Linked DNA regions of Nothobranchius furzeri. The protein of the gene in region 2 interacts with the protein of the main gene of each other region in a pairwise test. Links are inferred from orthologs where the notes say so. Each region holds a gene or a part of one and is shown on either strand. Other genes may lie near its edges.

What was found.
Region 1: the proteins of bmal1a (region 2) and npas2 interact in binary tests that used the Homo sapiens proteins (3 or more experiments, as listed by UniProt). The link is inferred for Nothobranchius furzeri from reciprocal best matches to the Homo sapiens genes BMAL1 and NPAS2.

Annotation. Positions count from the first base shown.
Region 1 is NC_091750.1:49,104,511-49,108,832, reverse strand, and holds the start of npas2 (neuronal PAS domain-containing protein 2), read right to left. Parts: upstream 2,851-4,322; 5' UTR 2,620-2,850; intron 1-2,619. UniProt on the Homo sapiens protein: Transcriptional activator which forms a core component of the circadian clock.
Region 2 is NC_091744.1:85,094,476-85,098,939, reverse strand, and holds the start of bmal1a (basic helix-loop-helix ARNT like 1a), read right to left. Parts: upstream 3,087-4,464; 5' UTR 2,929-3,086; intron 1-2,928. UniProt on the Homo sapiens protein: Transcriptional activator which forms a core component of the circadian clock.

The DNA.
Region 1 (4,322 bases), on a different chromosome or scaffold from region 2:
TGCAGAGTTTTTTTTAATATAGTTTTTTGATAAACTGTTCCATACTCAAGGTGAAGCACATAAGAATAAAGTAAGATGACATCCTGTGGTCAAATTTGGTTACTGCAATCTCGTTCACTTCTGTTTCGTGAGTTTTGTGGCTGTCATCTACAGCTCAGCACCAAAAGATTCTAGGTAACAAGCACAGATGAGTCATACACAGTAAGTTGATAAATACGTTGTCATATCTGGTGCTAGCACTATTGGGTGTTTTACGTTAGGAAGCACTTCCTACATGTATTACGGTAAAATACCTCTTGCATACAAGAAGTGTTTTTACGGTCTGGCTGATAGATTAGTTATTGCTCTGAATGACTCATTCAAGGGAGTAAAGCGCCATATTTGACTCATTATTCACTTTATGCAAAAATTTCACTGTAATAAGATATTTTTAGAGCTGACTATTTGCTTCTAATTTACTGTTAGCATTGTTAGCTCAATGTTAGCCTCTAGCCGTCTTTACTTGATATTAGAGTACAACAAAAAGATGCCGTGGCTTCCTAGGGTTACAAGAAAAAAAATTTGGGTTGCTCTTGTTCCAGACTTTGGTTCTTTAAACAACTCTAGAGATTTTTGATGGCTGTAGTCGAGTTACAAATGCCGGCGCTGCAGTGTTAGCTCACACTCACTGATGCTAAACTGTAGCTACTTCCCTCCTTCTATTTTGAAAGGAGAAAAAAAAGACAACCCTGCCAGCCAGCAAAAAATTCAATATGTTTAAGGACAGCCTTCCTTCCAACATGACTGAGACATTAAGACTGCTTTGGGAAATCTTACTCTATTCTTACACAATGCACCTTTAAATTTATTTTATTTAAGATTTAAAGATTAGCATAAAATAGTTAATCCAAGACGACTGACTGAATTGAAGTCGATATTAGTCAAATAGCAACCTGTTGTCAGATTTCAATCAATTTCATGAGATCGATCAGCATAGGCTGAACATTCAGCATTCATTTTATGTGGATCACTGCTCTGTTTTCTTAAAGAGACAGAGCATTGCACTGATCCCTTTTGCTGCTACGCAGACCCACACCATTTGTGCATGCCTAGTCACACTAAGCAGCTCTAGCAACATTCAGACTAGCATTCAGTTTAAGCTTCAGGACATGGCCCAGTAACCTACTTTCCCCACAACATGCTCTGTAACATCAGAGACGAGGCTGTGTGTCATCAGTTAACTAACCTTCAGCACAGCACCGTTCTAGCAGGAAAAAAAGCCAAAGATATTTCACACACAGTATTGCTGAAGCAAAAAAATAAGTAAAAAATAGGAACAGAAGTGATCAGTTATGTCGCTGGAAAAAGAAATCTCCTGCAAAGCCCTTGTAAGGTTGGGCTAAAACTGAAAAATGTCTACTTATATTTACCGGTAATACATTTAAACAAGCAGCAAACCAAATTACATTACAAGATGACATTTTTTAGCAGAAAGCAAGTTCAAATGGAAGCTACCTACATAAATAATGCTTTATAAATTTGTCTCTAGCCCTCATTTATGAGTTCAAAGGACAGCTGAGGGTGACATGGTTTTCTTCATCAGCAATAATAGCCCCTGAACTATCTTCAGTCCAAGTTTCTATGTGAACACACCCTAAAGCAAAGCAGAAAATGTACTTTTAACTAATGCTGTACATGAATTCAGATTGTCCATTTTAGTAACAGTGCTAAAAAATTAGCTGAGAAGCAACATAGATGACATGAGTCATGAGGCTGGCCCAAATGTTAATCAGCATGATGTAAACAGGAACATATGGTGCCGTGAACACCCCATTTCAGTAATCATGGAACTAGGCATCCTGTCCCACTCAGCTGTTCGCATACATCCTCATCACAATCCATGTCTGCTGTGTCAGCCTTGGTGTTAACACATCAGGCCAGAAAAACATATCCATAAACAAGACAACATATGCATAGAAGCATATTGAACAATATATGTTCTTTTTGACAGCACCAAAGACTTTTATTTTGAAAATCAGAACTAGAACAGTATTGAGGCTTTTCACCATCATCATATGCCATGTATGAAATCTAGTTTTCACACCTGGATTACTTAATCAATTTTTGCATTCTTTCATATTTCATTAAGCCTGAAAAATGTACCAATCTCTCAATAAAAGCTCAGCTGTAACAATCAGGGCGAGTTTGACCAAAAGGAACAGCAGGTTCCCAGGTGGCTTTGTGACAACACACACTAAGCTTCATTATACACTAGTCACAACAAAACAGTGACGGGGTCAAGCTTTCAACTTCACTCAGTTTCACACAAAATCAGAAATGTTTTTTAGAAAGCATCCTCATAACATAATATTTTTTTAGGTCAGTGTTAGCTTGTAACTATTTATAGCAACAGGGCTAAAGTAATAAACCAGGAACGTCTAAAACACGAAAGAGCAAATATTAAACAGCTATTATAACATTTCAAAGCAACAAATGTTGTTGCTTTTATTTCTAAAACATGATTAATATCGCCTGTTAATCGAGATAGACAGAAATTTGGGGAAAATTTTAGCCGCTGTTAGCTTGTTATATGACAACTGTCAAACCTGTAAATTTGAAAACATAGAAGGAAGAGCTTACCGTATTCTGTTAAATAAAGATGAGATTCCAAAAAACGAGAAGATGTAGCGAGAGTGGGGAAAGTGGGCTTGAAAACCTCAATGTCTGAAAAAGTTGACAAGAAAAAATTGTATTGCTGGGAAAAACTGTAATATTCTCCGTATTTTTGGGATTAAACCCAGTCGAAGGGAGAGAAAATGCTCCGGCTACCGACACCGGCATTTTACATAATGATACTGAGAACCGCGGAGCTGACCAACACCGGGGTCTTGAGTCCACAGCTACAGAGACAGAGGCTGAATAAGCGACGTAACATGTCTTTGGGCTGGTCGGAGCCCCGCCCACTAGTGAGCACGCGCTTGATAATACTTCAAAATAAAATTCACCTCAGGTACATAACTATTAAAAATAGTTATTCATTAATTCATTCTTAATAAAAAAGGCAGCATTTAAAAAAACACTCAGTTTTTCGCATTTGCGGATCACTTGTTTGAGACTGACGCTAGCGCCATCATAAGGTGGGTGGGTTTACCGGGTGACGAAAAAAATTCTAAACCAGATTGGTCCGATGTATTCAATCAATTTTCTTTATTGAAGAAAAACAAAACAAATGGAACACAAACACCAGTAACAGGAAAATAAAAAAAACATTTATTAAATAATTACAAAACAATTACAGGTTTTGGGAACATGGGGGTCTTTTTCATGCACATTTCCAAAATTGATGTTTGTCCAAATGTTTATTGGCACTGTGTTCAAGTTACCCCCTAAAGTTAAAGTTAATAGCTTCTTTCAACTCATTGTATTGGTCATGTTTTTTTTTCATGATCTTGTGCGTAATTAATTGAAAAGTGTGAAGATAAAAATGATTTGTGAGGTTTTCCCATTGCTATTGTCAACATGACATGGCCCTGAATTTTTGGCATCCCTCGCTTTCTTAATGAAAGGTTAAATACGATTATAGTGTAAACTTTGACTTAGATAAGAGGACGTATTTTATGGGGTAAACCAAATGTGTTCTGGAACAATCCTGTGTGATTTAAGAGATCCAAGATGTTTCACATCTGGATGTTCTTTAATGTTTTTCTTATGCTCATTAAATTAGCATCAAAATCTCAAAACAAAGAAAAACGGACTTGTTTTCATAGAGAAGCTAGAACCAATCAGTTTGAGGCTTTAGAAACATTTAAAGGGTGTTAACTTCCTTCAGAACAGGTCAGGCTAGTTTTATTGAAACATGTGTATATGACACTGAGATTTGTTTTTTGGCAAAGAAATAACAGCATACCCATAAGTATTTATCAATCCAAGCTCCCATTACAGTTTCACCCACGTGACAGAAGTCTGCATTTAAATGAAAAACAAAATTGGGGTCAAACTGTAATTCTTTATTAAAAATCACATTGTTTTATTACCCAATTTGGTTTAAAACAAATGCAGGAATTTTAAAAAAAGTAGATCAGTACATGTGACTTGCAGGGTTTTCCGCAGGATGGACGTCAAACCAACAAATGGCAATGTAAAACATTACATTAGTGAAGTAAATAATAAACGTTAAGTCAGACAGTTAGTTGACTCATAAATTTGTCTGTCTAACTGGTTATATATAGCTCTTTTTTTTTTACTCGTCCTTATTTGCCTCCTAAGACTTGAAACCATCATTAAATACGAGCTGTTTGTAACTGTAATGTTAACCCAGTTCTGTTCTGTAACACTTTTAATGT
Region 2 (4,464 bases):
GGTTTTAACTAGGTTGAGGCTGGGCCAGTTGCCTGAAGGCAAGTTTGTTTTTGGTGGGGAGGCATCCTGACGGCTGCTGAGCTTGTGGGGAACAGGAGACCGTGGATCATGTCCTGTTGTGGTGCCGGTTGTTTGCGGAGGAGAGGAGGTCCTTGTTTGGCTGTCTAGAGGCTACAGGGACGGTCGTGTTCGGCTGGCAGGCCCTGTTGGCGGTGCCTGATCGGGTCGTGATTGGGGCACTGCTACGTTTTCCTCGTGCTGTAGGGGTGTACGAGAGGCTGTGAAGGGAGTGGCTGTCGAGAAATGGTTGCTGTGGCAGCAATGCGCCCTTTGGGCATCCAGCATGTCTTCAGTGAAGAAGACCCGAGAGCCACCAAACAGTTCCAGAGTCAAAAGGCCCCAGAAGATGCTGATCCAGTTACTGAATCAGTGAGGGTCCAGGAGGGTGCTTGGAATAAAATCTAAATCCTGAATCTGAAGTCAGTTCCTGCTCTCAAGACCAGATTGTTTGAACCTTGTGTTCTCCACACCGCTTGAATCAGTGGTTTTCAGGTCTGGTCTCCACCAGTGGTTACTCTGGTCCTCAGGACACACCGTCTTGCATGTTTTCTGTGTTGCCCTTTTAAACACCCTGCTGCCACACACCTGGCTTAGATGAATAAGTGACTAACAGGCCTCTGCAGTGCTTGATGTCCTCCAGAGGAGCCAATGTAAATCTGGTGTGCTGAAGCAGAGACATGGGAAAACATATAGGACAGTGTGCCCTGAGGACCAGGGTTGGGAAACACCATGCATCTTGACAATTAAAGCACCATGATGCACAAATGTCAAGCACATCACTGAGAACCATTGCTCAAACTAAATTTGCACAAATAAACTGATAAAAGGTTACTTTTCTTACAGCCCCACATAAGTGCACTCCACAAGGCTTTCTGCATGACTCACTCTGCTTGAGATGTTGAAAGCTTTCCATAATTATAACTAATACAATGAGGCGGACAGGCTAACCACATCTTGTAAGTTTTCCCACCTCTCTAACCTCTGCCCTACTTACTTTTATGACAGCTTTGATTTTTGACATGAAAAAGTGTCTCCTTGATTAGCAGCTTTGCTCCATCATCACAACTGTTTCTGTTATCTCATAGCTTTCGTGGCAGCGCATCGATACTGATAACTGTGGTGGGTTACCACTTGTCAAGAAATTTAGGGAGTATTGTCTCTTTGGTGCATTTTCTCCAAACAAAATTGTTCATAAAACTGAAAGCACCCAAATATTGGTAGATTACTAAAATTAAACATTCAATTCAATTCAAAACTACTTTATTAATCCCAGAGGGAAACTGATTGCTGTAGTAGCTCAGAATAATAATAATAATCAAGTCATCAAAGAGTTGTTGTATATTACAATGGCTGTTGGCAGGAAGGATCTCCAGTAGCGGTCAGTGTTGCAGCCAAACTGAAGAAGCCTCTGACTGAAGACACTCTTCCGTTGTCGGACAGTCTTGTGAAGAGAATGCTCAGGGTTGTCCATCATTTTCTTGATTCTCTGGAGAATCCTTCTTTGCATTATCTCCTCCAGCGGTTCCGAAACTGCCGACACTCTGGCTGAGTCCTTGAAAGGGCTTGGAGTTCCTCCGTCTTGTTGGCCAGTGATCTCACATTGCCCGTTATGATCGATGGAAGAGATGGTTTGAATTTCCTCTTTCTCTGTCTCCGTTTAGCTCCCGCTCTGCACCCACGCTTCTTGCGTTTTAGATCATTTTGGATTTGTGGCTTCAGTTGAGGTATTATTTCAGCCTTTCCAATGTTAATCAGCTGCTCCGATTGTAAACAGCTCGTTGCCATGGTTACGCATCATAACAAATGCTCATAAAGTGAAAAAAGCTAAAAAATAGCAGTAAAAATCCTCCAAGCTTCACAGCACCAGAAACAGAAAAGTAAAGTGTCCAAAAAATACAGTTTTTCTTGAGAAACTAGAAGAAAAAATGCCGAAGAAAAGGCAAAACTTACATAAAGTCAACAGAGCTACTCCAACATGCAGCCACCCAGAGCAGCGCAGTTCCAGAGTTCATGAAATATTAAAATAAGGTTTGCACATATACTAATATTTACACCATGAATAAAAGCCAGATGTGTCTACCAAAGAGATGCTTAAAGCCAAATAAATCAAAATATGGTACTTATTACTTCAAAAAAGTGATATAGGTACTAATACCGAGACAGTGTGTGTGTGTGTGTGTGTGTGTGTGTGTGTGTGTGTGTGTGTGTGTGTGTGTGTGTGTGTGTGTGTGTCAGCAAAACTGTGAGCATCTTGGAGCAACCACCGCGGAGTGTGTGGAAAACGAGCGGTGGACCACATTTCCACTGTCAGTGTCTTGATGTTTTATAACCAAAAACATGACCCTCGTGTTGTTAAGCAGCTCGGTGAACGTCTCCATGCGTTTCACAGCCCCACGGTGACAAGATTTGTACAGATATAGGAGGGAGGCTCAGAAGTTATCGCGGCAGGATTGGTGCTCTCGAAGAAACTGTTCCAGATACCTGTGAAGGCCCGTCTCCATTGCTAGCCTGTTAGCACTTAGGTCACGTCTGGTTAACGTTTAGCAACCCGGCATTTACCCAAGCCCCGGGCACTTTCTAGCTCCGGTGCTCGCTGGAAATAATTTAAACTATGCCGACAGACTGAGTGCGTTGCTTCCATCTTTCATTAAAAAATGTCTAGCTCGCTAATATTAGCTCACAGCAGCTAGCTACGGAACGCGATCTGTCAAGACTTGGCCGCTGAGCTAGCATTCGTCCTCGCGCTCCACAAAACCAGACTGGACCAGAGTGCTGGGAAAATATCCATGACGATCTATCAGGGATTAAAAACCACAGACAAAGCTATCCCATTAGCAAAATACAGACTTAAAGTCGTTTTATACTTACAGAATATTCCACAAAATCCGTAGATCCATTCAAATGTGATGGTAATATGTAATAGCAACACATAGAACTGTGACATAAACGATTTTCAATCAGTGACCCAGTTTCTCTTCACCGTCATGACTGTCGAACCACTAACCTAGTTTTTCATCCAATGGCGTTCGCTTTGGCCTCGTAGGTGGCGCTCCAGCCAATCAGACGTCACACTTGGCTGGAAAAATATGACGGGCGTGATAATCGGCCAATGAGCGTTAAGTAGGAACGGAATGCGGAGACCAGTTGTGTGAGAGCGTGTTATGGAAAACACACCGCAAACAAACCACTTAGGAAGCCTTACAGCACGAGCTGGCCCCCGCTTAATAACATTATGATTTATTCTGATAATACGTTTACGACGATCTAAGACCAGTTCACGTTTTTATATAAATATATTCCGTTTTTATCATTTTTCATTATATTTTCTAAAGCTGTTCTTTCTGTACAACTTAATTGAAAAGAACATGCTGTTCTTATCCTTTATCCTCATGTTTATTGACATTTTTATTGTAAACTATCCTCTAAATGACCGGTGTGACTTTCATTCAAAATACGGTTGTTTTTATTTTATTCTAATTGTTAAAGTGAAACATTCAAAACAACATTTATTTGGGTTACTAATTGTAGTCTTACATATTTGGGCTTTGGCGCCCCCTGCTGGTTATTCATGTAGGTTATTTTGGTACATGATTATAAAATGAGGAAAATAGAAAAACATTTATTTCCGGTTGTCTTTTTTCATGATGTAATGAAAAGAAAATTAAAGAAAGATTTTGAAACATTTTCAACCCATTTATTGGCAAAGTGAATGACGTGTTAGCCCACTGATGCCGGGGTAAATTCTGTAATTTGTATATTTGGTTTGAAATAAAAGTGAAAGTAACGTTAACAGGTCTTTTAAGTTAAATTGTTGCCTCCTTTGAATTGCCTATAATGATAAAAAATGAACACATCTACTGTGGGGCGGGCGAGTTTCCTTAGATATACAGAGTTTGAGTAATTTATTATATGAAATGTATGTAAAATAAAAATATATTTTCTGGCGGATTATCTCGAAATATATCCGAAGGGTAGCTGATCTAAAATGTGCAATATTCTATCACGCCACTAGAGGGTAGTAGCTGTTCAAATTAAAATTTCCAAATTTCTTCATGGATTTGCAATTTTTTTTTTGTTCTTTGACTTCTTTTATTTGTTAATACTTTGATTTCTTCAACAATAAACTACATATATTGTAAGTCTGTGACGTTTTTAAGTAAAAATTGTTATTGTGAGATTAGTATTTACTCATTTGGATATGGTTTGATTGAATATTATAACATCTTTAACGATAAAAAACACACAAATATGTCTGATATTGTCTTCAATTATTCATCAATTCAACAAATTAGTAAAATTTGTGATAATAGGCGTAGTTTGTGTGACTAAGATTTATTATTTTATCGGCACTATTTATTTATTTATTTATTAAATTAAGATAGCCCATATAATTATGATAATTAA